2 linked regions of the Ovis aries genome follow. The protein of the gene in region 1 purifies or fractionates together with the protein of each later gene. This does not show direct contact. Links are inferred from orthologs where the notes say so. Each region holds a gene or a part of one and is shown on either strand. Other genes may lie near its edges.

What was found.
Region 2: the proteins of MAGOHB (region 1) and PYM1 purify together in Homo sapiens (co-immunoprecipitation; 3 studies listed by BioGRID and IntAct, with this or other methods). This does not show direct contact. The link is inferred for Ovis aries from reciprocal best matches to the Homo sapiens genes MAGOHB and PYM1.

Annotation. Positions count from the first base shown.
Region 1 is NC_056056.1:204,663,415-204,667,329, forward strand, and holds the start of MAGOHB (protein mago nashi homolog 2), read left to right. Parts: upstream 1-1,198; 5' UTR 1,199-1,257; coding exon 1,258-1,351; exon of another isoform or gene 1,352-1,436; intron 1,437-3,915. UniProt on the Homo sapiens protein: Required for pre-mRNA splicing as component of the spliceosome. Plays a redundant role with MAGOH in the exon junction complex and in the nonsense-mediated decay (NMD) pathway.
Region 2 is NC_056056.1:163,592,928-163,596,842, forward strand, and holds the start of PYM1 (partner of Y14 and mago), read left to right. Parts: upstream 1-1,012; 5' UTR 1,013-1,015; coding exon of another isoform or gene 1,016-1,049; 5' UTR 1,050-2,097; coding exon 2,098-2,209; intron 2,210-3,915. UniProt on the Homo sapiens protein: Key regulator of the exon junction complex (EJC), a multiprotein complex that associates immediately upstream of the exon-exon junction on mRNAs and serves as a positional landmark for the intron exon structure of genes and directs post-transcriptional processes in the cytoplasm such as mRNA export, nonsense-mediated mRNA decay (NMD) or translation.

The sequences.
Region 1 (3,915 bases):
ATTACCAGCATTAAACAAACAAACAAAACTTTCTTATAGCATTTGCTTTCATGGACTAATATGTATCGACATGTTCGTTTTCTAGACGACAAGCACAAAGGATTTTTTTATTACCAGTGCCCAACCATTTCTGGCACATACGAAATGCCCATTATAACTCATATGTTGTTTCATAAATTTTAAATCTTATTTCACATACATTATCTTATCTGGTCCTTTCAACAGTTTTTTGAGCTTGACAAAGTTGATTTTAGTCTACTCATTTGGTTGACCAATAAAACGGCTTAAAGATAGGGTCTTAAAGGAAGTTAGGTAGAGATAAGTAATGGGCATAAATCCCTGTCTTCTGACTGCCACTCTCTTTATCAAATCCCACTGAAGGTTAAAGGGTATCCAACAAGCAGGATTATTCTGTGTGTCGATAAAAGAAAGGTAATCAATATAACCGAAGAGGAAAAAACAAACAAACAAACAAACAGGCTTTGTGTAAAGCTCAGCTTGCCTTTCCTCATCCTTCAAAACCCACTCCAGATGAGAGCTATATTTCCCCAGTATAACTCTAGAGCGTAAGAAATGGGCGCTAAACCACTTGACCTGTGATCAAATTGCCGAAACTCCAGTAACTGGATGTTTTATTATTGATAGAAATTTTTTTCGTATCATGACTGTCAAGAGATTTTGCTTCAATGTGCTCTTCAAATTTTCAGACAGCCTGTCGTGATGGATTCTTTCTACTTTGTCTCGTCTGGCTTCTAGATGCCAGAAAGCGAGCCATCATTGTCCAAAGGGGAGAGGCCTGTGTTAGAAGTCTAGCAAGAGAAATGGCTGTACTGCAGGTCTGCATTCTGATTCTGGGCTTTTACCTTGACTCATGCCACTAACCTGGGGGATAAGGCCACACCCACCTCACGGGATGCCGTGAGACCCCAAAAGTCAGAGCGACTTTTAATTTAGAACTTAGAGCAACTCCGAACTAATTCGGAGGTCATAACAAATGCTTTCATATTTTATCACTTGTGCTTTCCCAATATAATATGATCTAACTAATTTTGAAAATAATATGACCTTAGTAAAGCAGAGTTCATGCCTTTGCAACCCTGCCCCACCGCACCCTATCTCCCACCCGCTTTTCTCTCGGGCCGAGGGAGGCTGAAGGGGCGCGCCCGCTGTGACGTGTAATCCTTGGGCGACTGACGTCACTGCCAGGCGCCGGGAGTCACGTCGGCCGGTCCTTCGGCGGGCTTTTCGGGGACAAAGATGGCTATGGCCAGCGATTTCTACCTGCGCTACTACGTAGGGCACAAGGGCAAATTTGGACACGAGTTTCTGGAGTTTGAGTTTCGGCCGGACGGTGAGCGGAAGAGAGGCGACTGCCGCACCTGGGAGTGATGATGAGCAGGGGAGAAGCGAGGCGGAGAGGCCGCGAAGGAGGCAGGGTGGGTGGGTGAGCTTGCTCGGGCTCGCGAGTGTACAGTTGGGTCCAGGAGCTTAAAAATGTAGGAAGCTTACATTGGTTTGAGGGAATAAAAGAGAATTAGTCGGTGTCAATTATTTCAGAAAAGCCTATGCTACCTTTGATCCTAAAGTTCAAGCTATAGTAATCAGAATTCTAGAATCAGTTCACCGGAAGGGACCTTAACGGCCTTCTAGTTAATTAACCTAATACTTGGACATTTTTTGACATCCCCACCAAGCGGTGGATCCATGGACACTTAAAATCTTCCTTTAAATAGTAAATTTCAGACGGCCCATTCATCCTGAATTAATTTACTCGTTCAGGCACTGTATGGAAGGCAGAAAAGCAAAATGCTCTGGAGGTGGGAAGCCCAACGTGTAGAAAAACGAGTGTAATGATGTCTTTCGGGTGCTTAAATACAGTTGTTCGCTATTGGATGCATTAAGACTATTAAAAGGGGGCGCGGTTAGTTCTTCATGAAAGAGTCGGAAATCTTTTTTGAGAAGGCGACCATTGAGATGAGTATTGGAATGAGAAGACGTATTTTCTTGGTCTCTGGGAGAAAAGGCGTCAGACTCCTGAGCGCTCTAAGAGCGGGGAAGGGGGCCCGGGGTGAGGTGAAACTGCCAGTTGCCCAAGAAATATGCAGCAAATTCTATATTTTGACAACTAATTCTCTTTAGATAGTTGTACTGTATATTGAACTGTTATTGTAACAACAGTAGTCCAACTGCATAGACTGTTTTTTTGAATGCATATTATGTGCTGGGCAACACGTAAAAACAAAAATTGAGGGTACAGCAGTGCATAAGACATTTTCATTCCCTTCAAGGAGTTATATTTTGGTGGATGACATAAACATAAAACTAAGTGTAAAGCGGTATGCATATTAGGCGCTGTGTTCATGCTTTGGACAAAGTTCTGGGAGGGCATGAAAGAAAAATTAGGGGAGGTTCACATACTAGCAAAAGGGAAGAATATCAGATACATCAGGTAGAAGTCAGGGTAACTACATTCTGCAATTATTTAGGAACCTTAATCCCTAATCTTCCTGGTTCCCCTCAGGTTGTTTCTAAATTTAGCTCAGGAGCCAAATTTACTTGAATTCTCTTTATCTTTTCTTTCTTTGGACTTCCCTGGTGGCTCAGATGGTAAAGCATCTGCCTACAATGTGGGAGACCTGGGTTCAATCCCTGGGTTTATACTGTCTTCAGGGTCTTGGCATGTGACCAGCTTTTAGCTGGTCAATTTTAGCCAGTCACATGGATGAAACAGTCTTTTCTTAATCTTCAGTTCAGTTCAGTCACTCCAACTCTTGGCGACCCCATGGAATGCAGCAGATCAGGCTTCCCTGTCCATCACCAACTCCTGGAAGCTAAGTTCAAACTCATGTCCATCGAGACAGTGATGCCATCCAACCATCTCATCCTCTGTTGCTCCCTTCTCCTGCCTTCAGTCTTTCCCAGCATCAGTCTCTTCCAATGAATATTCAGGACTGATTTCCTTAAGGATGGACTGGTTGAATCTCCTTGCAGTCCAAGGGACTCTCAAGAGTCTTCTCCCAACACCATAATTCAAAAGCATAAATTCTTCCACACTCAACTTACTTTATAGTGCAACTCTCACATCCATACCTGACTACTGGAAAAACGATAGCTTTGACTAGAGGAATCTTTGTCAGCAAAGTAATGTCTCTGCTTTTTAATGTGCTCTCTAGGTTGGTCAGGACTTTTCTTCCAAGGAGTAAGCGTCTTTTAATTTCATGGCTGCAATCACCATCTGCAGTGATTTTGGAGCCCAGAAAAATAAGTCAGCCACTGTTTCCGCTGTTTCCCCATCTATTTGCCATGAAGTGATGGGACCAGGTGCCATGATCTTAGTTTTTGAATGTTGAATTTTAAGCCAACTTTTTCACTCCTCTTTCATCAAAAGGCTCTTTAGTTCTTTGCTTTTCTGCCCTAAGGGTGCCGTCATCTGAATATCTAAGGTTATTGATATTTCTTCGGCAATCTTGATTCCAGTTTGTGCTTTATCCAGCCTGGCATTTCGCATGATGTACTTTACATAGAAGTTAAATAAGCAGGGTGATGATATACAGCCTTGACATACTCCTTTCCCAACTTGGAACCAGTCTGTTGTTCCATGTCTGGTTTTAACTATTGCTTCTTGACCTGCATACAGATTTCTCAGAAGGCAGGTAAGGTGGTCTGGTATTCCCATCTTTTGAGGAATTTTCTACAGTTTATTGTGATCCACACCATCAAAGGCTTTGGTGTAGTCAATAAAACTGAAGTATATGTTTATGTACTGTTGAAGCCTGGCTTAGAGAATTTTGAGCATTACTTTGCTAACATGTGAGATGATTGCAATTGTGCAGTAGTTTGAACATTTTTTGGCATTGCCTTTCCTTGGGATTGGAATGAAAGCTGACCTTTTCCAGTCCTGTGGCCACTGCTGAG
Region 2 (3,915 bases), about 41 Mb from region 1:
AAAGCGGGGGAGGGAGAACATTTGGGTTCCTCTAAAAAGGGAGACACGGGGCAGAGCAGGGCTGCAAAGGGAGTGACCGTGCGGCTCAGGTTATTGGCGTTTTGCCCGGATTTGGATCCCCAGAGCGCTGAGACTTGGCCGAGCTTAATTAGAATACTAATTGGGTCCGCCCAGCAGCCTTCATCTCACCCTCTGACCCTGGGGCGAGCCCGAGGAGGCTCCCGGGTCGAAGGCCAGAGCAAACTTGGGCCGTCGTCACTTCACCGCCCGAGTCCCTGGGGCCGCCCCAGGGGCAGGGCCAGGCCGGGGCTATCCGCCCCGCCCGCCCACCGCGCCTTCTCAGCCGTAGAAGTCGCCGGCAACCCTGTAGCTGCGGGGATAAATGACCGACAGGCAGCGCCTTCGGCCTTGCACGTCTCTCTCGCGCGTCTCTCTCGGGAGGGTTGAGCTGAGCGGCCAAGGGCAATCGGCGCGCGATTTCTACCTCCCCACCTTCTAAGAGAGGGTCAGTTGGGGTCTTGCGTTCGCCCCCAACACTGGTGCGCCCCAGTGCGTTCCCGGAGTTTGCCTGCCCCGCCCCGTATCCCCAAGCGGCTCTGGAACCTGGGCGCAGGCCAGGACATGAATAACCTTCTTTTCCTCATTTACTAGCCTTCCCTCTCCCCCGCCTTCTGGATGCAGGTGGGCCTTGCCCCCTTTTCTCCCGCAGGTCCTAGACAGACGAAGAGTGCCGGTGAGGATAGGGGCTATGCCTCGGAACTTCTCTCGGCGCCTAGAGAACTGCTATACACGCAGCAGGCGCTCAATACTGGTATCAATGGCAGTAAAAGAGGCTATGGCTCTTATTTTATTTTAGTCTTCAGCTTCTTTACGCCTCCTTCACGTCTGTCCACCAAATGGTGTACTCTCCCTTTAAGACTAAAATGGTGGCTTGTTACGATCTGGACTCCACTTCCGGTGGGGAGGGGGGCGGGACCCCAGCCCGCTCACGCCGGAAGTGGTTTGCGTTTTCAAGATGGCGACTCCCTATGTAACTGACGAGACCGGCGGTGAGTGCGGGAGTCGCGGAGCCGCTTCTCCCATGGCTCTCGGGGCAGGGGTTCGGACTTAGAAAGGGGTCTGTGCCCCGCCCATCCCGGGGCCCCTCCTTTGCCCCGCCCTCCGGACCGCCTTCCCCATTCATTCTCTCCTACGGGGTGTCACCTGCGCCCCCTTCTGGTCTCTTGTTTGGGGGGTCTCCGCTTCCGGTCACCCAAGCCCTGGGGTCCTTCAATGCTGGTCCTTGATCCAGGACCCTCACGAACCCTTAGCTTTTCTCCAGCGCTTGGAAATCCCATATCTCTTTGGGGTTCTTCAGCCTTGGGGGCGCCTCCACTCTCAATTCCCTCCAATTCTTGATCCCCCCCCTTTTCCCCTCCCCCATCTCTCAGTGTACCTGCTTTCTACCCTACCGGAGCCCCATTTAAATACTATTTATCAAAGCTGTATCTGTTGGAGACCTCCTCATTGCTACATAGTTCTTTTTCCACTCTAACTCATCTTAATTGTTGGTTCATTGAGGTCCAGAGGTGTGAGGAGAAGAGGAACCTAATAGAACTTTCAGCTGGAGTTCTCTCCTTGATAACACCACCTGTCACCCTTCGGTACCTTCTCTGGTGATGGTGATAAGAGTTGAGGGATCTGAGGTGGTAGAAGGTAAACGAGAAGGTGTCTGATGGCCTCTCAAGTCCTCTGACAAGTTTATAGAACCCACTATTTCTTCTAGTCAGAGAAGATTTTCCAAGCTGCTGAAGTGTCTGCTGTGTATGTGAGGCTGATATGTTGAAAACTGGGAATCAAGATTTTCGTTTTGGCTATGCCCCATCCTAATTTTCTCATCTTTAGGAAAAATGTGCATATCTATTCAGTGACAGTCGAATAAGATACTGTATGTGAAAGCGATTTATAAAATGCTGTGCAAGGCAAGGCGTTACTGTTTTTTGTAGTCCTTATTGTGTATTTGTATTCTATAGAAGTGTGTGTGTGTGTGTGTGTACTTTGGTCCATGCAGTCCGTTTTAAAATATACCTTTTATGCCTCTTGCTTTTCTTGTTTTCCATGTTACTTCTCAACCCACCTCTCATATGGTATCTAATGACAACCCAAGTCTCTGCTACTTCTCTGCAACATCACCTTTCAAAGTGCTACAACTTCTCTTGCTCTCTACATAGTAGGTACTTCTTCAATTTGCCTCTCTTGATGTGGTTTTTGAAAATATTACTCATTGTCCAGTACATCTCTACTTATTAACTGTTTTCTTTAAACTGATTTAATGAAAATTCAGATATGACATCTCACCTTACCCTCCCAAGAGGTATCTTCTGTTCTCATGTGACCGTGTAGAAGAGAAGGAATCACACTGCTCTTTTGCTTTCCCTTGCTGCTTCCAGATCATCGATCTACCACTGTCACTGTAATTCTCCTGGAAGATGTTGCCATGCAATTGTAGCATTTTCTCTAAAACTTAAGGTCCAACATCCACGGACAAGATGTATCATATCATTTCATTCTGTTTCTCAGTGTCTCCACTCAGCATCTATGGAATACTTATAGATACATATTTATTATTTATTTGGCTGCATCCACACAGGGGATTTTTGTTGTGTCACGTGGAATCTTCTGTTGGGTCATGCAGACTTAGTTGCCCTAGGGCATGTGTGGTCTTAGTTCCCCTACCAGGGATTGAACCTGTGTCCTCTGCATTGCAAGGTGGACTTTTAACCCCTAGACCAACAGGGAAGTCCCTGCAATACTTTTATAATTCCTCAATGTGAGATTGTTGATTTTCCTTTGAATTTTCAAGCCAGCTACACATCAGAACCACTGCAATCTGGACCTACTACATATCCTACTACACAGAACACCACCAGTGACAGGGCTCCCCATCACTTATTTTAACTTCCTTAGTCATCTTTTTTACTTCCACACACCCATAGAATCAGCTTTTTGCCCTCTTTAGTTTCTCTGGTCCTTGACCTGTTTTCCATTTCATTTCATTGAGTCTACCAGCACCTTTATGACTACTATTTCTTTTTTTTTAGTTTTTAAAAAATTAATTTTTGATTGAGCTGGGTCTTTGTTGCTGCACATGGGCTTTCTCTAGTTGTGGGGAGCAGGGGCTACTCTTGTGGTGCTTGGCTTCTCTTTGTGGTAGAACACAGGCTCTATTGCACAGGCTTCAGCGTTTGGCAGCACTCGGGCTCTGTAGTTGTGGCACATGCACTTCGTTGTTGGGCATCATGTGGAATTTTCCTGGACCAGGGATCCAACTGGTGTCCCTCGAATTGGCAGATGGATTTTTATCCACTGCGCCACCAGGGAAATCCCCGTTATGACTACTTTTGATGCTGGCCTGCTGGACCTCTGTGACCAGTCACTATCCTCATTGCTTTCTTCATTCATTTTGATCTTCTGTACTAAGCAAGCACTTCTGTTCTCTTGAATCACACCCACCAACTTTTTTCTTGGCTTCTGCTTCTAGGCCATAGCGCATGGCTAGAGAAAAGGCATGGACTGCAGAACATTTGGTATAATATAACAATGTTAACTTCTGTCAAGGTCATGGATTTTCTCCAATTCTTCTATTAAAAAAATTTTTTTTTAATTTATTTGGCTGCTCTGAGTCTCTAGTTGTGGCATGCAGAATCTTTAGTTGCAGCATGCAGACTCTTAGTGGCAGCGTGTGGGGTCTAGTTTCCCGACCAGGGATCAAACCTGAGCCTTCTGCCTTAGGAACAGAGTCTTAGCGACTGGGTCACCAGGGAAGTTGCATCCAGTTCTTCTTTCTCCATATGCTTACATCCTAACATGGCTATTTTCCCTACCTTTCTCAGCTTTGTGACTTTCCCTTCTCCCTGTGGCAACTGGCCTCACTTT